Rhinolophus ferrumequinum: one gene and its partners. The protein of the gene in region 3 interacts with the protein of the main gene of each other region in a biochemical or structural test. Links are inferred from orthologs where the notes say so. Each region holds a gene or a part of one and is shown on either strand. Other genes may lie near its edges.

Region 1 (7,347 bases), on a different chromosome or scaffold from region 3:
GGCGGCACCTCTGGAGCAGAGGAAAGTTCCAGGAAGTGCAATGCACAGAACCCCAGCTGCGTCCCTCGGGGCAGAGGCCCAGCTTTCTGACCTTCGTGCTTCTCAGAAGCTGTAGCTCTGGTGTCCACCTCGGGAACAGATGTCCCCAGCCCTTCTGGTTGGCCCCTGAGGATTCAGAGCGATACACAAGACACCTCTGGATGATCATCAAGCTCTTATTGCAAGTGAGGTTATAGGAACCTACTTGTGTCTGCATGAGGGAGCAGGGAGAAAGAAGCCCCGATAAGCTATGCTTAAGGCGCTGAGGGCTCCTGGGGCTCCAGCTGTCCCCCTGAACAAGTGTGGGGTACAGTTCTCCCAAGTCCAGTCATTCAGAGGCTGCCTGCATGGTTTTGCCACATCTACATACCACCTATATTAACATTCAACGTTTTCTTTAAATGGACTCTCTTGTGAGCATAGTATTTGGGAAATTGCCGGATACTCTTTTCTTTCTAACACACGGTAAACAAAGCACAGAACTTCCAACTAAAGGTCATGTAGCCCCCACTATCTCACTCATGTACCATCAGCAGCACACACGCCTCCTCCTGGCTCGCAGCACACTGAGCCAAGGCGAGCAGAGGCCAAGGAAGGAATGATGAGCCATAAGAAAACCCCAGGGCGTCGTGAGCAGTCCTCGGGTGGGCACGTCCTCCTGTGACATCCCCAGCAGGACGCTGGCCATTGTGAGGCCACCGTCCCTGCCTTATTACCTGGCAGAACAACTGACACATGAAGCTACAGAAAGGGCCCAGTGGTATAAAATCCACAAGCGCAGGCACTGCTGCAGGCTGCTCCACAGGAGTTCAGGACAGGGCTCACGACGGGATCAGGTGAGGACAGAGCAGCGTGGGAGGCTTCCTGGAGAAGGTCAATTGAATCCAATGCTCGGTCATTTATGACAACCACAAGGCAGGACCCAAGGGATACGCTATCAAATAAGACATTGTCTGAGCCTGAGGAACTGACAGGCGGGTCGGGGAGACCACACGACATACATGAAACAGACAAGGAAAAAGTATGACCAGCTCCTCAGGGGTAGGTATAGGTCAGTGGTCTGCAAACTTTTTGATCACCTACTCCTTTCAATAAATATTTCTCAGGCCACAGATCCATATATGTATTTATATTGATTTGTACGTATACGTTCAGTAAGTGTACTAATGTCATTATAAATATAGACAAAACAGACATTTTTAAAGGATGCAATAGAAACAGAAACCGCACTTGCAGGACCTATTTCCAGTCCTCCGAGGGCTGTGTAAGGTCCCTGCACGCAGGTATGGCCTGTCTGGGGGAGAGTCAGAGCCGCTTCCCAAGCAGGGTGGCCCTCGTACAGCGGGGAGCCTTCAGGGATCCCAAGAAGGCAGAGGTGCTGGGGTTCGGGTTGCGAGGGTGGGGGTCTTTTGTAGCACTTATCCCAACTCTAATTTTACGTTTCTTTCCATCTAACTCTGAAATACCTTTGAGGGACCGTGCTGCTTTTGCTCATTTTATATTCCCAAGGTGTTGGGCGTACGGTGGGCGCTCAGATACCTGTGGAGTGAAACAATGAGAGCAGAGCATTGCAGAGCAGTGGCAGGCATGGTGACAGAAATAGGCAAGTTGGGAAGGGGACGCCTTCTTGTGGGAAGACGAGCTCTGTCTTGGGGTACGGGGTCCTCAGACGGCTGGTGAAAAGCCAAGGCTGGGTGTCCCGATTTGGGAGCTGGAGCCAGAAGGTGGCTGTCTGCCCCTGGGGCCTCGGCGCAGAGGGTTGACCCTCAGAGGACCCCACAGCTGGCAGGAGGGTGTGGAGAGAAGACAGGGCCAAAAAGGAGACAGAGACGGGTCAGAGAGGAAAAAGTAGAGAGAGTGGATTGTCAGGAAGTTTCACGAGGGGAACAGTGACAGCATTGAATCCATGAGATCAATGAGAAGGGGGCAAGGAAAGCCAGGGGCTGAAAGCCTCTTTCCGTGCGAGTTGCCAGGCAGGCTTCCAAAGAGCTGACAGCTAATGCTTGATGGTTTACCGGGATGAGTCACACCGAGCCTCTCAGAAATGGTGTTTGGCTCCCTGGTGTCTGGGTGTGCAGTTCCATTAAACCAGTTCATGGGAGCACTAGTTTACCCAATTCTCTGGTCCCAAAGGGCAGACGCACTGTGCTAGCCAAAGAGGCTGCAGTTCACAGCTAAGTATGAGGCAGGCCTGTGTCTTCATCCTAATCTCTTCCCTCTGAATGGGTTTGGACTTGGAGGCTTTGAATAGTTTATAAATTGAAAACCAAAATTGACCTGCGCACCTCCTGTGGCAGTGTCCGGCGACAGCACATCATGTGACGAACTGCGCCTCCCCTGGCAACTCTCACTGGCCTCACTCCTGTCACCTGGCTCGTGGGGTCTCCTGGGGACACAGCCACTTGCTGGCTGGACCAAGACCTGAAATGAGTGAAGAGAGAGCCCTGGGCCGGGCTCTGCTTCCCATCAGCTGGGCCTCCGGCTCCTTCCCTTCCTGCCCAGACTCTGCCACTGTGACTCACGCTGCTCCGTCCTCTCCATTTGGGACAGACAAGAAATGAACAAATGCAAGACACTGCTCTCCTCTCGCTCTCCAGCTGAGGCCTACTTACATTTTTGTTTTTCTGGAACAGTGTTCTGGCTTCATTTAATATGTACTCTTTTTCTTTAATGGTGTCTTCCATCTGTCCTGACGACGCCTGCCATTTCCTCGCAAGCCTGAAAATTCGGCGGTAGAGGCCAAGAACTTCCTGTCGCGTTGCTGTTGTCATCTTCAGACCCACCAAAATAGAAGAGGGAAAATGTGCATAAAAATTCACCGTGACAATAGGCAGCTAGCCAGATGCACCTTTTTTTTTTTTTTTTTTTTTTAAATCAAGCTCTTTAATTAGAAGGCACAGATAACTGCCTTCTCAGCAAATCCGTTTGGCAGCATTGCCGCATGGCCGTGTACGAATACCAGCTATCCCTTGGCGGCCTCGTGTATCACCTCACGGTTGAGCTGCTCCACTGTACTGTTTGCCATGATGGCCACTTTTACAAACATGGCAAAACAAAACCAAAGCACACATGTACTGTTCTTTGAACCGGTAAATTCTTAGGAAGGATGCTTTTCGTGTGTATTCTGGTAAAATTATATCCCTAACCTGAGTGTCTAGGAAAAGGCATGTGTTGAATAACTGAATTTTCTAGTTAAGTGAGAACTTGAAATTAATGCAGGTTGCAAACTCACGTTCCTCCAGGGTCTGGCAGGTAACAAAATGAGGGAATTTGACTGGGTGGGGACACTGGCCAACTGGAGAGGACATGCCCCCTTAAAAGGGGACAGTCGCTACTCAGCCCCCGCCAGCCGCTGCCATGTAGAAGTGAGGGCCTAAGGGTGCCAGATTTCATGATAGCTTCACAATAGGTGGCAGTCCAGATTTTTAAAATATAAAATCTCAAAAAAGACACAAATTCATTTTTGAAAATGTGAGTACGATGAAGCCCAAAGAAAATGTGTCTGCAGGCTAAGGTCCTCCCAGAGGGCGTCAGGTTGCAGCCTCTTAGTTCAGCATAGCCTCGTTGAAAATATTTTGCAAAACTGTCAGTTCACTGCCTTGTGCACATGAGAACTGTGTAGTAAGTATAACTGGAAGTCTTTGTGATGGCTGAAGATCTGTGGCCCCTCTGGGTTTGCACGCTGAAACATCAGCTTTCATTTCAGAGGACTTGGCCAAGTTCCTGACCGAAGTATGTTCCATAAAGCTAACTGTATTTTTATAAATTAAATTCCTGTTATTTTTATTTTCATTATGAAATACCTCAGATACACAAAAAGATATAGAGAATAATTAACAGCCATACATTCACAATGGACCTTAGGGAATAAATTATATATACAGTTGAAACCCCCACTGTACCTTTTCCAAATCGAATTCCTCTTCCTCTCTCCTAGAAGGAACTGCTATCCTGAATATATCTTTCTCACACGTCTTTACATTTCACATTATATAGTATTGCTTAGCAACTTTAAAAGAACTTTATAAAAGGTATTGCCTTTCTGCAACTTCTTTTTGCCCATATTTGTACTGTTTCCCCAAAAATAAGACCTAGCTGGACTATCAGCTCTAAGGCGTCTTTTGAAACAAAAATTAATATAAGACCGGGTCTTATTTTAATATAAGACCAGGTATAATATAATATAATATAATATAATATAATATAATATAAATACCGGGTCCTCCCGGACCAGGGCAGATTATATTAATTTTTGCTCCAAAAGATGCATTAGAGCTGATGGTCTGGCTAGGTCTTATTTTCGGGGAAACACGGTAAGGTTCATCCATGTGGTTACACACAGCTCCAGTTCATGGGTTCTCACTACTGCAATTCAGCCCACACTGTCTGAAGGTATCTCATGTATTCTTCTGCTGATGGACATTAGGGGTTTCCCTTTTCTTTTACTTACGCAACAACGTTAGCCTGTTTCTTTACTACTTACTTCTACAAGAAATCCCGGAAAGTGAAAAAGCCCCACTACGGGAGGATTCTGATTGGTCAGATTTAGGAGAACGAATCCTGTACTGCCTTTAACAGATGGGCAGGCCGGGAGGACCCGGGCACATGCAGTGAGTGAGCAGCAGGGCCGGGCCAGGCATGGGGACCCTCCCCGGGAATCCTGGGTTTTCCTCAAACAGGCTCCTCAGGATCTGGAGGTAGGTGCTCACTGCCCTTTGGGAGCGCGACCCATTTCCAACCCGAGCGGGAGGGCCAACACATGGAGACTGTACGCTTCAGGAGATTTTGTCCTGAGTTCCTGAGAATTCGAGCAGCTAAAGAATACAGATGGGAGCTGTAAGGAGGTGTGTTTATCTGTTAGGTTGGTGCAAAAGTAATTGCGGTTTAAAAGATTAAAAATAATTGCACGAACCGCAATTACTTTTGCACTGACCTAATAGAAATTCTAAGTTGCTGCAAGGAAACTGCCTGACAGAGAATTCCTCTTTCGAATATGACTGTCCCTCCTACTTCTCCTGACCCTGGTGACTTTTCTTGAGCAATAAGGAATGAACCAAGGCTTAACCATTTGATGATAAGCTTGAAAGCACTAGTTCCCCCAGTTCAAAAGTCGACAGGACTAAGCTTAACCTCCAACACCAATTCTGATGGCCAGGATGCTTCAGAGAAAATGCTTAAAAGGAATTCATAAAAACCAAGACAACCGCATGTTTTGTGGTTCATCGTTAATAAAAACCCACATGAGATGATGACATTTTCCTGGTAAGGAAACAGGTTTCTGAGTTTCTGGCTCTCTCTAGAATTCCATGGTTTCATCTGAAAATACGTGAGTCAGTTCCTGTGAGGGGCAGGGAGTCTGTAACTAACTTGTATTAACGATTGCCTCACTTCTCTGTCATTAACAGACGAAACTGCCCGGACTGCATGGCACTGGTGAGGAGTGAAGGAGGTCTGGCCTGTGAAAACAGCAGCAACCTTCTGCAAAGTCGGACTTTAATTGGTTTCCTTCTACTCTTAGAACCTCCGCTTCAGATTGTAGCTGATCATATACCATAATCGGATACACAAGCCCTGTAATTAGGGCACTCAAGGTAACAAGCAGAACTAACAATTGGTACTTAATAGGCCTATTTTCAAAACACTTTAATTAACGTTTACATGTTTGGAGAAGTAATCCTGAAAGGGAGATAAGTGATGTCTCCCTCTCCAACATCAGGTGACCCAGAAAACCTAAATCCTGAAGATTTCCAGGGGGAGGGGGTCTGAAGCTCTGTTCCCATGATGTACTACTAACAGGCCTAGCCAACCACACTTCTTCCCAACTCTGCGCAAAGCCAGGAAAAAGATGCTTTTGTTCTTTTCTTATTGGAATCCTTCAGGTCTCAGAGAGAAGGAATCATGTTCTCTTACCGTAGGGGTACATCCCATCTGTTCCCTCTTTCTAGAAGGCTCTCTTGGCTCCCTTGCAGCCTTCAGTTACCAATGAAAACATGGAGGTCTCAGAAAAGCCTTTCCCGCTCCCTGCTGCCCTCACCACGTGCATCAAGTCAGGTCTCTCAGTTGAGCCCTTCCGCGGCCCTTGTATTTCTTGTAGCACTTGACCACGCAAGTAATGGGTTGTTAGTGTCCGTCTTCCCCGAGCCTCGCACCTTGTGGACAGGAACCACACGCACCTTATTTACTGCTGACTTCTTGGCACTGGTGCTCAACGAGTGCCGCTGTTGCCCTCCTTCCATCATTCATTGCACACCAGCAGCCCCTTCAAAGGAGGCTGTGCATTTGGGGGGCTGCTCTGCCCTTCCCTCCCCACAGCAACCTGTCCCCAACACTCCAAAGGGAGCTGACATCACAGAAGGGACAGCAGGCCTCATTACAGGGCTGCCAGCCTGCAGGCCAGACTCCAGCTGGGACCAAAAAGGGGTCCCGTGGCCAGTAACCTCCCAGGGAGACCCGAGCATCAACTCCCAGCCGGGCAGGTCAGGGTGGGGAGTCACCCCCCAGGCCTGTAACTTCTTTAGTGAGAGGCTTATCTTTGCCGTAAGCAGCCCTGTCCATTGTTTCTGTGCATCTCGTTTTGTGCAACACACCTTTGACATAAGTGGGACCACCCTCAAGAGAGCACCTGATCTTGTTAACTACCCTGTAGTCCAGTCCCCGCCTTGCTTTCTCCCAGTCCCCGCCTTGCTTTCTCCCAGTCCCCGCCTTGCTTTCTCCCAGTCCCTGCCTTGCTTTCTCCCAGTCCCCGCCTTGCTTTCTCCCAATCCCTGCCTCGGTTTCTCCCACCTCCGTCATCTTCCTTTGTTCCCTCCTTAATTCCAAATGCATGAAAGAAAACTGCAAAACTGTCCCTCTCCATTTATCTTGCTCCCCAGAAATTACCCTCAATGTCTTACATAAAATTTCTACAGGTTTGGACGTTTCTTACATGGACACTTCCCTCCCAAACACCTATCCATCCATCCATCCATTCATGCAGTCAGCATTTATTTAGTCAGTTCACCCCAGAGGCTGGGCACAGGCAGTTCTGGGGAAAGTGATAACCAAGCAGCCATGGTCCCTGCCTCCTAAAGTTTATATGCTCGTGGCAGAGGCAGACGACACACAAGAAGAACAATTTCTGGTAGATATATGTGCTCTCGGAATGAACCAGTCAGTATATATGAGCAGAGGGAGCGGTTATTTGATTGTGGGTAGTCAGTGACATTCGAGCCAGTGCTGAATGCTAGAAAGGAGAGTTAAGAGGTCGGTGAGGTGGTATCGGAAGAGGGGTCAGCAGGAACAAAGGCTGTGAGGTGGGAGCCAACCTCC
Region 2 (7,439 bases), on a different chromosome or scaffold from region 3:
GCCCCACCTTTGCACTACAGCCCTTCCAGGATGGCGATTTTTGCAAACTTAAGTCAGACTTGGAAAGCTTGTCCCCAGCTTCTCAGTCTCCCTCTTCATGCTCTGTCACCTCCTTGGTCAGTTTCAGGTCCCTCTAGTTCTCACTTCTCCCAGGGCTGGAGTGGTCTGGGCACAGTGGATTCTGTCATGAAGGAGTGGATCCCCTTGTGCAATGCAGGCTTTGCGCTCCAGATGGACAGTGTCTCTGCTGGCTCAGGCACTATGAACCCCCACCTACACATCCCCTGGAACCTCGGTGTGTCCAGCCTCACGGGTCAACTCCGGTCACCCTCCCGAGAAGGTGGCTTCTCACATGCGCTCGTGCTCCCCAGCGACCCGGGAGGTGAGCAGGACCCCATGGACGAGGATCCCTGCCAAGGCATGGGCCACATACTGGCCACTGCCCGCTGGCACACCCCCAGGGGTAGGAGCCGGGGACGGGGCCGGGGCCGGGGCCGCCCGAGCACAGGCGCCGGGGCAGTGCGAGGTGGCCGTTGCGACGTGTGTGGGAAGGTGTTCAGCCAACGTAGTAACCTGCTGCGGCACCAGAAAATACACACGGGAGAACGACCGTTCGTGTGTGGCGAGTGCGGCCGCAGCTTCAGCCGCAGCTCGCACCTGCTGCGCCACCAGCTCACTCACACAGAGGAGCGGCCCTTTGTGTGCGACGAATGCGGCCAGGGCTTCGTGCGCAGCGCGCGCCTGGAGGAGCACAGGCGCGTGCACACGGGCGAGCAGCCTTTCCACTGCGCTGAATGCGGCCAGAGCTTCCGGCAGCGCTCCAACTTGCTGCAGCACCAGCGCGTCCACGGCGACCCTCCTGGCCCAGGTGCTGGGCCCCCCGCGCCTCCCAGTGTGCCCGAGCCACCAGGCCCCTTCCCGTGCAGTGAGTGCCGCGAGAGCTTCGCGCGGCGCGCCGTGCTGCTGGAGCACCAGGCCGTGCACACGGGGGACAAATCCTTCGGCTGCGTGGAATGTGGTGAGCGCTTCGGCCGCCGCTCGGTGCTGCTGCAGCACCGGCGCGTGCACAGCGGCGAGCGGCCCTTCGCCTGCAACGAGTGCGGCCAGAGCTTCCGTCAGCGCTCCAACCTTACACAGCACCGGCGCATCCATACGGGCGAGCGGCCCTTCGCCTGCGCGGAGTGCGGCAAGGCCTTCCGCCAGCGGCCTACGCTCACGCAGCACCTGCGCGTGCACACGGGCGAGAAGCCCTTTGCCTGCCCCGACTGCGGCCAGCGCTTCAGCCAGCGTCTCAAGCTCACGCGCCACCAGCGGACACACACCGGGGAGAAGCCCTACCACTGCAGCGAGTGTGGGCTGGGCTTTACACAGGTCTCGCGGCTCACGGAGCACCAGCGCATCCACACCGGCGAGCGGCCCTTCACCTGCCCGGAGTGCGGCCAGAGTTTCCGGCAGCACGCCAACCTCACGCAGCACCGGCGCATCCACACAGGCGAGCGCCCCTACGCGTGCCCCGAGTGCGGCAAGGCCTTCCGCCAGCGACCCACGCTCACGCAACACCTGCGCACCCACCGGCGTGAGAAGCCTTTCGCTTGCCAGGACTGTGGCCGTCGCTTCCACCAGAGCACCAAGCTCATCCAGCACCAGCGCGTCCACAGCATGGAGTAGCCAGTGGTCAGTGCACCCCGTCTGCATCCACCTCCATGCTGTGCGTGGGATTAGCAGGACAGAACACCTACCTCACAGGGTTGCTGTGCCTGCGATCGCATACATAGAAGCAGGTCCACCTAGGGCCTGACCCCCCCAGTAGGTGCTCAATAAACAGTAGAAGGAACCCTGGGTCTGGGTCTTCACACACACAGTGCCTCCCCACCTGCGTGGGTCCCCCTGCCACCCCACCCATCCACCACTTCCACTGCAACCCTAGGAGAGCCATGTCCCCCTGCAGAGGTGGCTCCTAGCAGCAGCTGTCCTTGTCTGTCCTAGCGGGGTGCCCCCTATACCATGGCTCTTGTACTGTTTGCCCAAGATGCCTTCGACTCACACATCCACATCAAGCCAGCTGCCAGGCGTGGACCTGGACTGGCCCAGTTCTCCCCAGCCAGCCAAGATTATCACATGCAGTATAAGTAGCAAACGTGCACAGCAGGCCACAGCCGGCCTAGGATGTGTGTTTGTAAAACTTGAAACCTAGGAAGACATTTCTTAGGTGTAAAGGCTGGAAGGATTTATCTGGAAATCCACATTCTTTCAGGACTTTACCTCATTCTCCCAAGCCCAGCCTCCCCATGCAATATAAACCCAGTTATTCTCACCCCAACCCCAGCTTTCCAAATCTGTCCACTTCTGTCCACTCCGAAGCACTGCTCTGATCCCAGCCACCCATCTCCAGCCTGGAGGTCCACAGCACTCAGCCTCCCTGCCGGTTCCTGCCCCTCCTTTAAAAAATGGACACTATCTTCCCAGCGTCAGTTCCCAGAGGCTAGCCTAACACCTCACTCCTTGCCCGTCACGTTTTGCCTCCTCCCTGCAGGGCTCTGACGCCAGCTTCCCTCAGGGCCTTTACACGTGGCAAGCCCTGTGCCTCCCAAAAGGCTGCAGGCCCATGGCCTACAGGAATTCTTGACACCCAAACCACCTGTGCCCCGCGACCACTTGGGTGGCTATGAGGGTGAGAAGGAACACACAGATGCACCACTTCCAACCCGCCCCTCTACTTCAGTCTGGCCATGCCCGACCCAAGGGCCTCGCATAGCTGGCATGGTTGAGTCCCACTGCACCGTGGGGAAGCCACGATGTTAGAGACCACAGAAGTCTAGCTTTGCCTAGTCCAGTGTCACTTCTCCAGGGAACCAATATCCTATCCCCAGATGGGCCATCAGCTGATGGGCCTCAGCAACTGGCCTGAGGATGAACACCTGGGTCAGGTTGGCCAATAGAAACTTCCCCCTTGAAACTTTGGCTGGAAACAGCGTGATGGTCATCAACCCTAATGTGGAAATAGCGTTTATGAAAATAATCAAGAGCAGAACAGCTAAGAACAACAGAGAGGAAGGGTTAAAGGGAGAGCTCGAGTCTGGAGGGGACCTCTGAGTCTCAGGACCAACTATGTCTGAACCTTGAGAACGCTGGGACGGTTGCAATTAGCCCCAAACCTGAGCTGTTTGAGGTTTGAGCCCCCATCCTTAGCCCCTGGCTCCCCTCCAGCACTCAGTTGTCACGGGAGTCAAGAAACGATGCTGGGAGTGTGAGGCTGGTACAACCAGGGGGTTGAAGGGGGCATCTGGGTTGGTGGCATTGAGAATGGAAGGGCCGAAAGGGGGAGCGATTACAGAAATACAGCTGGGATCAGTCCACGGAGACCAAGGACGCTAAGGGTGACCGACACTCACGGCAGAGCCTCCGCGGAGGCTGGGACCGGGATAGACGTCAGACCAAGGTGCGATGAGGTGGAGGCGACTCCTTGAGGTGAGGATGGGGGATGGGGCCAAGGTGAGGGCCACGGGCCTGGGCCAGGGCAGGCGGCCGAGAGGAACTTGGCCGACCGTAGCGTGGCCCCAACTGGACCGCCGGGACCATGTCTCCCACAATACTCCGGGAGGGGACGGCAAGTTGTTTCAGAGACAGACGGGAACGTGCCGCGGAAGCCGCCTTCGGACCCGGAAGGGCTGAGCTGCAGAGCCCTGGCTGCCCCCACTGGTCCACCCGGGTGCTGGCCAACCCTCGTGACGCCAATCCTGACCCACCTCACGGTTTCCGCGGTGACAGCCGGAAGTTGCAGAACCCTTGGGACAGGCTGAGCTGTGATTGAGGGGAGGCTGGCCCCGCCCACAGCGCCCCTGCAGGCGGCTTAAGTTCCTCCTGCGCCCCCGCCGGAGCTCATGACAGGCGCCGAGAACGACCCCCACCCGAGTGTCCACCCGCATTACCCTCCAGGGTGCTGACCACTCTGGCACAATACATTTTGTTAGTTTACCTCGACTAGAATCTCCCCGAGCGGGTTCTTTGATTGGATTTAAGATAGAACACGAGGGTACTAGACTCCGCACTCGCTGGGAAACTCCCCTGGCCTCGCCCTGGGATCTGGCCCGCAGCGATCACCATGCCCCTGTCTGTGACCTCCGGGAAAAAACCCCATTTGACCCACCCCCGCCGCGGTCCGCACTAGTGCAAGTGGGAATGGGCCGAGAGCGAGCGAAGCAGCCCGCATCTGCCCCACTTAAAGATGGCGGCGACACCGCCCCTGGCCTGTATCCGCGAGCGTCTCCGGAAGTGACCACGAGACGCCTAGACAAGCGAAAATACTCGAGCCCAGCCGAAAAAGCCCGAACCCTATGCCCCATCGCTGAGCAACGTGAGGCGGGGACGGCGGCGGTGGTTGCGCAGGCGCACAGGGCAGGCCGGGCTCGAAGAGCCGAAGCGGGAAGGCGGCGGAAATAGCCGAAGTGGTAGGGCGCCCGAGGCAGTTGCGGACTTCCGCGCCAAAGCCGCTGCTGCCGAGACTCCTATACACCGCCTCCGCCTCCTTCCACCCCTTGCCGCAACCCCTTCGCGAAGGAGCGAGTGAGCGAGCCGGCGGCGCGTCCCAGACAGCCCGCAGCCGCAGACGCAGCTGGGCCCGAGACCTGAGCGGGCGAGGAGGCGGAGGGAGCGGCCGGGTGGGGGCGGGGCCGAACAGTTCGGAGGAGAGCCGAGTCTGCTCGAGCACCGCCGAGCGAGCCCGAGGCGCCGGGGCAGGCCGGAGCTGGACTACGGGAGCCGACGCGGGACGCGCGGTGGGCGCGGAGCGGCGCGGCAGGCCGGACGGGCCGCGGCAGCAGCGGAGAAGGCCGCGGCGGCGGGTCCGAGTGGCGCGGGCAGCGGCGGGCGGCCGTGTGGCCGGGGTCCCGGGCCCCGCGGCGGCGGCGGCGGCGGCGGCGGCGGCGGCAGGATGATCAAGCTGTTCTCGCTGAAGCAGCAGAAGAAGGAGGAGGAGTCGGCGGGCGGCACCAAGGGCAGCAGCAAGAAGGCGTCGGCGGCGCAGCTGCGGATCCAGAAGGGTAGGGGTCGGGGGTCAGAGCCTGGGGTCGGGTTATGAGGGAACGAGGAGTTGGATAATGTTCCCCCCAGGGTCAGCGATGTCAGATTGGAGGCCATGGATGTGGGGGGTCGGTGGTCAGGCCCTGAGGTGGGGTGATGGGGGAATCGCGTGGGGTAATGCAGTCACCGGGGTAAAAGGGATCAGAGAAGCGGGGCACAGGATGGGGCAGTTAGGATAGTTGGAAAGCCAGGCAGGCGTCTGGTATTGGGGACCGGGAATCTGAGGGTCAGGCGGTGGGGGGGGGTGGTAGGGGGCGGGGGACTGAGAGTCGGGGGGGGGTCAAACAGGAACCTGAATGACAAGCAAAGGAGATGGGGATAGTGGGAGCCACCGATTGGGGATAAGAGTGGGAGAGGATTTCGTATATTATGCTGGAGTCACTGGGAATCTGGGAGTCAGATGGGGTAGAGACGGACTGGGGGTCATCATATGGCAATTTGGGGTTTGGGGTGACAGGTAGAGGAGGGAGGGATAGTGGGTGCCAGGGAGAGTGAGGCTGGGGACTCACAGGTCTGGGGGTCAGATAGGAACATGGGTTTGGGATGACAGGCAGAGGAGAGATGCTGGAGACCTGGGACTGGTGAGGGGATGATTTAGAGTATGGAGGTGCCAGGGTGCTTGAGTTTGGGTGGACAGGTGGGGACAAGCAGGGTCCACTAGAAAGTTGGAGGTCATGGCTGGGTATCCTGGGGTTTGGGGTTATCAGAGACTCTTGGGGGCCACTTGGGAGCGGTGTATTCAGAAGAGTCTAGAGTTTATTCTGGGCCGAGAGCTAGGGCACAGCCACAACTGAAGATGCATATTTGGGGTGTTGTTTTGGACCCAGAAGATCCTGCTTGGAGACTGGGGAGCAGAAAGAGCAAGGAGAGAGTTGGGGATGTGGGGCACAGCCCAGGACAGCCCTGGGAGTCTTGGATGAAGCCATAGGGGCTCTGCTGGCACCTGTACCTGTTCTGAGCACGCTCCTCTCTCACTCTTCCCTCTTTGTTCCCTTTCTCTGCTGTGCAAATCCAGACATAAACGAGCTAAACCTGCCCAAAACGTGTGACATCAGCTTTTCAGATCCCGACGATCTCCTCAACTTCAAGCTGGTTATCTGTCCTGATGAGGTGAGGATACACTCAGCTGGACACCCAGGCACAGTCCAGGGGCTGGTTCCCAAGTAGGGAGACCTGGTTCACCTGTCAGGCCCTGCAGGATGGGGCCCTAACACCTTTTTCTCTTTCCTCACAGGGCTTCTACAAGAGTGGGAAGTTTGTGTTCAGTTTTAAGGTGAGTTCCAGGTGGGTAGGGATGGCTCCCTGGGCTGAGGAGGCAACAGATGAAGCCCCAACCAAGCACTGCCTGGGTACCTATCCACTTCCCCCTCTCTTTTCCTGGAGCCAGGTGGGCCAGGGTTACCCGCATGACCCCCCCAAGGTGAAGTGTGAGACGATGGTCTATCATCCCAACATTGACCTCGAGGGCAACGTCTGCCTCAACATCCTCAGGTGAGGGCGCTGGCCCTCCACTGCTCTACCCAGCCCTATCAGGCCCCCCTCATTGCTTTGCACTGAACCAGTGGCCCTTCCCTCCTCCTGTGGTCTGTGTCCCTCTATCTCTTCATCTCCATGTTTTCTTCCTCATGGCTAGACCTTGGCTTTCTCCCTGGCCTGGCCTACTCTGCACCCTCCCCCTAGCCTCTCACATCCGCACTGTCCCACACCATGGGCCTGACATGACCAGTTCCAGCAGGGCGTGTGGCAGCCACACACTCACCAGTCCCTGAACCTGATGCTCTCTGTCCACAGAGAGGACTGGAAGCCAGTCCTTACGATAAACTCCATAATTTATGGCCTGCAGTATCTCTTCTTGGTGAGTAGGGCTGGATGGGTAGGCTTTGGGGAGGTTGGTTGTCTGCCCCTTGGGCATGTTGACCCCTGCCCATACTGGCCACAGGAGCCCAACCCCGAAGACCCACTGAACAAGGAGGCCGCTGAGGTCCTGCAGAACAACCGGCGGCTGTTTGAGCAGAATGTGCAGCGCTCCATGCGAGGTGGTTACATCGGCTCCACCTACTTCGAGCGCTGCCTGAAATAGGGTTGGCGCGTACCCACCCCTGCCAGGGCCAACAGCCCCGGCATCCCCTGCAAATATTTATTGGGGCCCACAGGTGGGGAGCATGGGGCAGCAAGTGGGGGGAGATCCTGTGCCCTGGCCTTGCCTCCTCTCTCTACCACCCACTCCTAGTTATTATTTTTTTTTTTTAACCACCGTGTGATTAAGGTCGGTTCTGTCTTCCCCCGACCTGCTCAGCGATGGGAAATGAATTGGCTTGTCTAGCCCCCCGCTGGGTGCCGTCCAACCCCCCACTCTGGGC
Region 3 (7,750 bases):
TAAACTATAATTTCCCTTAAATTATAGTAACTATATAACCAAATGGTACTGTAAAAATACAATATTTGTAAGTATGTACATACATACACAATATTTTTTATTTATGGAATACTGCGTATTTACTACTTCTGACTAGCAATCTATGTAGATTATAGTTATGTAAAAGATCACTAACGTGGAGAAAGGAAAAATTTAGAAGGTCTGCAAGAACTCAAACATTTACCATGGGAAATACCGTACTTCTGAGGCATGTATTTATCTTTAATGAAGGCTCAAGGAAGTATGACTTAAAAATTTATACATTAAAAAATGTACTGGTTCACTGAGAACTACTTATGAATGATATTAACAATAATGATATAATAAAAAGTCTTATGCTTTTAAAAATTAGCCTATATTAACTACTAAATATCAAACACTAGTCACAAGGATTTTAGAAAAACGTTATCAGGCAACAAGTTTGAGACAGAAAGGATCCAAATTAGCGTATAATCATATTGCTATTTAAAAAAAAAATTCAGTTTCAGTACTATGTCCTAACCTATCTCATATTATCTCCTCAGCTAAAGGAATAATGAAATTCTCTCTCACCACTTCTTCCCAACAATACAAAATCCAGAAAGCAGGGATCCTGGTCTTTCAAGCTATACTGCTATACCCCAAACCCCTAGAACAGAGCCTGGTACACAGTACTCAGTATTTGTTGAATGAATGAAGGAAGGAAGGAATGTGAAAACAGGTAGGAACAGGCAAACTACAAAGATCAAAGAGCTGACAATACATAAAGGTATAACTGGTTAATCAGAATATTAACATAAATGAGTTGATGTCAAATGTGAGCTATTCCACATTTTAGTAATAATCTGAATCATTAGAACTCAGACCCCAAGAATAGCAAACTCATCCTAGAAAACTTGTAGAAAATTAAATACTGAATTCTAAATTTTGCCAAAAATGGTCAGATCTGATTTTGTAGGAAAAACTAACCTCACAAATTCATAAACCCAGTTCACTGTTCCATTCTAAGAGAAAACACGCTAGTGGACTTCATTAGTGGTCTTTTGTCAACATTTCTTACTTTCTCTGTAGTTTCTCATTTACTTAGGGGAAAAAATTTTAAAACTTCAAAATCCCTTTAATCACTATCAAAATACTTAATTCTGCTGAGTCTATCCTACCTTTATTTACATAAAACCGGAAGTTTCCACACACTGACATTAGTACTTCTGTTATTACAATTTCAGAACTCTGCATCACATGTATTTTTTTAAGTTTTAAGAATTCAGAGAGGTCAAGTTCCTTGGGTGGGTTTCTTACTCAACTAGGACGATTATATTAATAAAGTGTATCTTCACTGCAAACTACACTTTAGAAAAAGCATGCTTCAAGGAGTACAAACCCTCCTCCCCCTTTCCTTCCTCACAAGGTATGTTTGATTCTAAGAAAGAAAATCCAAGATCTTTCTCTAGTTTTACTGTTTTAAAACAAAATCTTCTGTTCAATTACTAGTTTGTCTATCCTGACATATACTCGTTACTGTAGCGACATGAGCAAGTATGTCCAGTTTCTGTTACAACAGTATATTTTAATTGCTTGCCACTGCCTACCTGCATCAGATTTGACATCCAAAGTTATACCATATACACTACACACCGCAAGCGTATGACTCAACGTAATGCTAAAAAGAAAGTTTCTACACAGAATATGTCTGCTGTCACTAAAACCGATAGAGAAAAGGAACTCAGGGTGGTGACTACTCGTTCTTTTGGGGTTCTACGACTAAGAAATTGAGAACCAACTGTCCAATGTGTTCTCCCTTGCTTCTCCTGACCCTCCTACGGGTGGGGAGGCAATTCCTGCACAAGAGAATGTGTAAGTGCTTTGAAAGCTTGTGGATGAGAGATGCCGTAAATACACTTGATGGTATTAGTGCATTACTGTGAGCATTACGTGGAACCACTGTCACTGTGTCGGGGGTAGGTTGATGGCATAACCCTCCCTGAGAATGGGACGAGAGAACATAGTCTTCATCATCATCCGAAATGTTTGTCTTTTAGGCCGGGTTATTTTGTTAAACCGCAGCGAAACCACACGTGAAAAGTTACACGCAGGCCCCATACAAGGAGGACTTCGCCAGTCCCCATCCCCGCAGAACTGGGAGTCTCTGGAACCCAGCGAGGAGAGGAGTGCTAGGGGTTGGGCCTACACCCCAGTAACGTGAGGAGGTGCTGGGACCCGCGATGCGGCCCCGGCCGTAGCCGACGCCCGCGGAGCGCCTGGAGGCGCAGCTCTGGGCGGGGGCGCGGCGCCGGGCACCGGGAACGGCCCGGGAGGGCGGCCGCGCAGGGGCCCCGCGCCGCCCCGTTGCCTGGGAGGCTCGCGCCCCGCGGTCGGCGGCGTGGGGGAGGGGAGGACGGGCCTGCGGCCTGTTGGGGGACTTCAGCCCCGGCCTCGCGTGCGGCTCTCGGGCGGGCCCCCGGCCCCGGGGTCCCGAGTGCCGAGTAGAGACTCACCGGAAAGGCCCGGATCCGCATCTTGGTGTCCTTCCGGCTGCCCGTGCCTTTGCTCAGATTCGACATGGTGCTCGTCCCCTCCCCAGCGGCGGCTTCGGGTCGCACCCCGAGGCGCCGGTGTCACATTTAAGGCGGGCGGGCAGGCGAGGGGCGACGCTGGGGGCGGCGGTGCGGCCCCCGGGGTGGGCTGAGGAGCTGGCCGGCCCCTGGGCAGCCGCGGCGGGGACGGCGGCGGCTCAGGCTCCGGCGGCTGGGGCTTGGCTGGGGAACTGCGCTGGCGCGGTGGCTCCGCGGGGTCCCCCCTCACGCCCGGCTCGGCTCGGCTCCCTTTATCGCGCTCCTCCGCGATGGCGGCGGCGGCGGCGACGGACAAACATCTCACTGCGCAGGCCGAACGTCCTCCTCCTCCTTCTCCTCCTCCGCCTCAGCGAGACGAGATCCGGCCCAGAGGGTGGAGGGGGGAGGAAGGAGGGAGGAGAGCCTGAGAGTGGAGAGATTGGGGGGAGGGGGGTGGGAGGACGGGAGGGGGAGGTGGCTGGCCGCGGCGGGGGGGGGACGCTCAGATCTCGCGAGAACAAGGCGAGCGCGCACTCCCAGGTAAGGCGGGGCGAAGCCCGGCAGCGGAGGGGGCAACGCGAGGAGAGAAGGGGAACGAGGAGTTGGGGAAGTGGGAGGGGCCAACTGGGCGGGGAGGTGCGAAAGGGGAGGGGCTGAGGGCGAGAGGAGTAGGCTTCCTTTTTGAAAGGGGAGCGTCGGAGACCGGTTCTGGTCAGAGGTGGTTGATGATTGGTGGAGCGCGGAGCAGGGTCGGGGGTCCTGGTCACGTGGACCGAGTGGGCGGGGGAAATTCTGATAGGCAGAGCGGGATTGTAGTGGGCTGGTTCGGTCTGGACTGGGCTGGGCTAGGGTGGGGGCTGGGGCTGGGGCTGGGGCCGGAGGACAGTCTCGGGGAGGAGCGTGAGGTGCCAGGTGAGTAACTACGTTCTAGAACTGGTTCCTGTGGTTTTCTAGGGCATGTGGACTAGGGATGAGTACTTAAGCAGAAGCTAGAAAGTTGAAAGAAGTTTGTGCAGGAGTCACCTGCAGAGTCAGGAGTTAGGGTCCTGTATGCTTAAGAAGATACTCGGATTGGATGTGCACACCCCAACTCGCAGGCCTGAGAGGTGGAGATTTTAGACCATAAAGTTTCCTTAAACTGAAGAAGAAGCTCCAGGATGTCTTGAATCCCTGATATTTTTTGAGGGACCCAGGACTTCAAAGTGTTAAAATTTCTTTTTCGATACCATTGAAATAAAATGACAACTCCCTTAATGTAGTGCAGTATTTTGGTGCATGGTGTTAAATAGAAGATAGAATATTAGGTTGGTGCAAAAGTAATTGCGGTTTAAAACGTTAAAAAATATGTATACATTGCAAAAACCGCAATTACTTTTGCACCAACCTAATAGAAGCTACCTTTCACCTACCTAATCATTTTTACCACTACCAAGAGTGTTGTAGGTTTTGAAAGCCAAAATTATTGTCTTTGATTCAGTTTGCTGCAAATTTGGAATTTTTTATTTTCATTATAGTCAAAAGGTCTAGTGTGATTCATTAGTTTTGAATTTTACTTTCTAATTTACCTCTTGGTCCAATTGATGTTATATTGGGATTTCTGATGCTGCAGAGAAATATGTATGTGAGTTCCCAATAAAATTTGTGATTTTTGCATTTTAAATAAGAACCTACTGTTGGGATGGGTATCTACATTTGGAAGCTGGGGTTTTAATACTTTTATGTAGCATTTGGAAGTTGGGAATGTTATATTTTTTAATAACTAAACTGAAATATACTTTTCTATTTGTTGACAATAAGGTTGAATTTGCCCTAAATTAACTTAATCCTGATGACTAAATTTGAGTGTGTGCTTTCATCCCCTACTTGATTGAAATGCCCCATTTTGGAAATATATTTTCTTGTTTTGTTTTTTTTTGGTATTTGCTAATCAAAACACAACGTTAAGAAATGAGGATGTAGCTGGAAAAAAAAGTCTGTGTAAACACCGAAGCTAAAAATAGGTCATCAAGAACTGGGTTGATAAGGTAAGAATGGGTGGAGCTCAGATTTAAACGTAAGATAACATGAGTCTTGGATAGAAGTTTATAATCTGTATGCTAATTGAGCCTGTATTTCCATAATCATTAGAAAATAACAACCAATGTTTTTCTATTGACGGTACTGTCCTGTGGCCCAGTTTCTTTGTAATGTAAGAATATACATACATGTTCTGGACCCATTGGTTTGATTCCTAGCTCTATCACTTTACTACCTCTATTATGTATCTTTTGGGGTAAGGCTTTGACTGTTTATACCTGGAGTTCCTCATCTGTAAAAAGGGGATAATAATAATACTTCCTCCTGGGACTACTATGAAATTTAAATGATTTAATACATTTTTAAAAGCTGAGAGCAGTGCTCAGGACAGAGTGGCCACTCAACACCTGTTGGCTGTTATCATGGGCCAAGGCCAAGGTTACACTACCGTGTTTCCCCGAAAATAAGATCTATCCCGAAAATAAGCCCCGGTTAAGATTGTCAGCCAGAAGGACGCATTCAACACGTTGTGACAATGTTCCAGAAGAAGATGACATGACTGTATTTGAATAAATGTAGATTGTTGTACATGAAAAAATAAGACATCCCCTGAAAATATGCCCTAATGCGTCTTTTGGAGCAAAAGTTAAGAGCTGGTCTTATTTTTGGGGAAATACGGTATCTTCCTTTATTCAATATGTAAGTTTATTAAAAAAAAAAAAAAGAAAGCTTTCATGCTTTTATAAAATGAATTTTATTTTAAAAATGAGCCAGTCTCCAACACCTGGATTTCACAAAACAATAATATATTTTTTGGCAAGTAAGGGCATTAAAAAGGAATAACTAGCATTAAACTGGGTCCATTATCTTTTTTTTTTTTTTAAGTATTTTAACTGCATAAGTGGGGGAAGGTCAATTTTTGAATAAAGGACAGTTTCTTAAATTGATTAATTTAAGCTTGTGAGGAACAATATACTGAGCTGGTATTTCTCATTTCACTGTGAATGTGAGAAAACATCATGGGCTTACATTTAGGAACTCCCTGCATTAAAGCATGTTTCCATATAATTGTGATGCACATAATCACCCTTTAATTAATTTCTTTCCTGAGCTCAGATTTTCATGTTGGTTTTGCTTAAGCAAAATTTAACTGCATTTTAAAAGAATCACTATCAACTATGTCTTCCGTTAGGCTTTAACCACAAAGACCCAGAAAAACTCTTCAAAATGAATTTGTCTGCCACTGCCATTAAGAAACCTACTGCTCATTTATTTGTTCAGTTATTCCTTCATTTATTCAAGAAATATTTATTTAATGACTGCTATATGTCAGGCTCTCAGTGAATAAGACAGATAAGACCTGCCATCGCAGAACATATACCGTATTTCCCCGAAATTAGGACTTAGCCAGACAATCAGCTCTAATGCGTCTTTTGGAGCAAAATTTAATATAAGACCCGGTCTTATATAGTAATATAACATGTTATGTTATAGTAAATGTTATGTCTTATGTTATAGTAAAATAAGACCGGGTCTTATATTAATTTTTGCTCCAAAAGACGCATTAGAGCTGATTGTCTGGCTGTCTTTTTTTCAGGGAAACATGGGAGTTCCTTTTCACATCTCAAATTTTGGAACCACAGACCCAAGTTGGATGTGGCAATAACTTCCTATGCACTCCAGTCCAGAAATCAGATTTTTTTCTTCCTAGGAAAACCAGCATCCTCAAAATGTATACAAAATACTCTCTAAAGCAGCAGTAGACTATTCTATGCCCAGTGGTATTCCCTGACTTGCAAATAGCAAATTAACTGTCAGGATATTAGTTTTTCTGCCAAATGCCACCTGATCTAGCAGAGAAAGCAGTGTTGGAATAGGAACTCACTAGATGTTGCATGTCTGCTGGTTAGTATTCCTACTTATGCTGACAGAGTCCTGACACAGGAGAACAGTAACCACATTTCCATTTATTTGTATGGAGCACGTGCAGTCAAAGCTGGGAGGCTGGGTGAGACAGCCCCTTCTCTACATCTCAGTCTAGAAATGGACAGCACGGACTATGAGAAGCCAGTGAAAGGGAATAGCCTCTTGGCCATGAGTTTCTAGGTATCCAGGATACCAAGCCACTTTAATCACTGTATCAGACCTGCTGACTTGATTGTGCTGATATTGGTTATTAAAACAGCTGACAGTCTACCAATTCAATTAGAAAGACCTGTTCAATGGTTTTGAATGGACAAAGACCGAGTTAGGGAAAACTATATTTTCAAATTGGAAGGGGAACATTTATAGATATTATCACTTATTGGAAAGTAAGGGCTAGGTCTTCTACTTTCTTTCTATAATACAAATATGTATTGTAGGCCATTAGATTTGTACATATTTAGAACAGTAGAATTTGTATGTGATTTATAAGATGACGTGTTGGAAGAGTATCCCATTGAAATATAACCACAGACACTTACTTATATGAAAACTGTCTGTCTTCTCCATACCCCTTTTCTAGTTTGTCCTTACTGTTTTCCCTACATATATCATCAAGACAAGAAGCATCTAAAACATATGAGGATATGATACAAAGTTACATCTTGAATTAAAGAAAAATCTTAAAATGTCTCTTATAAAAACCCATCTCAATTTTTCATCATATTATCATGCTAAATAAAAGCATCTCACTGGCAGCTCTGGAAATTTCCTAGTTGGCCTGGACAGTATTCTGTTTATTCCACATTTATCCAGTAAATTAATATTTTGGAAAAAAAAATATTTATATATACAACCAACTAACCTAATTTAGCAGAACATAAATCCTCAATTGAAAATTATAGGCATTGCATCCATGTAATTTTATTTTGATGAAAAAGAATTTCCTCTTATTGGTAACAGCAACTGTATCAAGAAATCTCCAGGGGACAATTACGAATATGTATTGCTTTCATTTGAGACAAAGAAAGTATATGTTGACATTTATAAGTCATCATCTCTGTCTTTGTGAAGTAAGCTAATTTTGGAGTTGAGATAGAGCACAGATTCAAAGAGCTATAAAAGTAAATAGTCTAAACTTTACGCTAGATTTAATAATTATGTGAATTATAAATACAGCAGTCAACAAATGTAAAAAATAGCGTTATCTTAAATGTCTTCAATAAGCTATTTATCTTTAG

Evidence for each region. The genes of interacting proteins can lie anywhere in the genome.
Region 1: the proteins of CUL3 (region 3) and DCUN1D3 form a complex in vitro, tested with the Homo sapiens proteins (3 studies listed by BioGRID, with this or other methods). The link is inferred for Rhinolophus ferrumequinum from reciprocal best matches to the Homo sapiens genes CUL3 and DCUN1D3.
Region 2: the proteins of CUL3 (region 3) and UBE2M form a complex in vitro, tested with the Homo sapiens proteins (2 studies listed by BioGRID, with this or other methods). The link is inferred for Rhinolophus ferrumequinum from reciprocal best matches to the Homo sapiens genes CUL3 and UBE2M.

What each region holds. Positions count from the first base shown.
Region 1 is NW_022680357.1:16,190,676-16,198,022, reverse strand, and holds the start of DCUN1D3 (DCN1-like protein 3), read left to right. Parts: upstream 1-4,331; 5' UTR 4,332-5,630; intron 5,631-7,347. Other genes in the region: LYRM1 (LYR motif-containing protein 1), read right to left, coding at 2,652-2,810. UniProt on the Homo sapiens protein: Contributes to the neddylation of all cullins by transferring NEDD8 from N-terminally acetylated NEDD8-conjugating E2s enzyme to different cullin C-terminal domain-RBX complexes and may play a role in the cell cycle progression by regulating the SCF ubiquitin E3 ligase complex, after UV damage.
Region 2 is NC_046298.1:50,990,697-50,998,135, reverse strand, and holds the start of UBE2M (NEDD8-conjugating enzyme Ubc12), read left to right. Parts: upstream 1-4,423; 5' UTR 4,424-4,930; coding exon 4,931-5,039; intron 5,040-6,094; coding exon 6,095-6,189; intron 6,190-6,313; coding exon 6,314-6,352; intron 6,353-6,466; coding exon 6,467-6,570; intron 6,571-6,870; coding exon 6,871-6,934; intron 6,935-7,018; coding exon 7,019-7,159; 3' UTR 7,160-7,439. Other genes in the region: MZF1 (myeloid zinc finger 1), read left to right, coding at 122-1,668.
Region 3 is NC_046291.1:12,007,676-12,015,425, reverse strand, and holds the start of CUL3 (cullin-3), read right to left. Parts: upstream 3,010-7,750; 5' UTR 2,580-3,009; coding exon 2,514-2,579; intron 1-2,513. UniProt on the Homo sapiens protein: Core component of multiple cullin-RING-based BCR (BTB-CUL3-RBX1) E3 ubiquitin-protein ligase complexes which mediate the ubiquitination and subsequent proteasomal degradation of target proteins.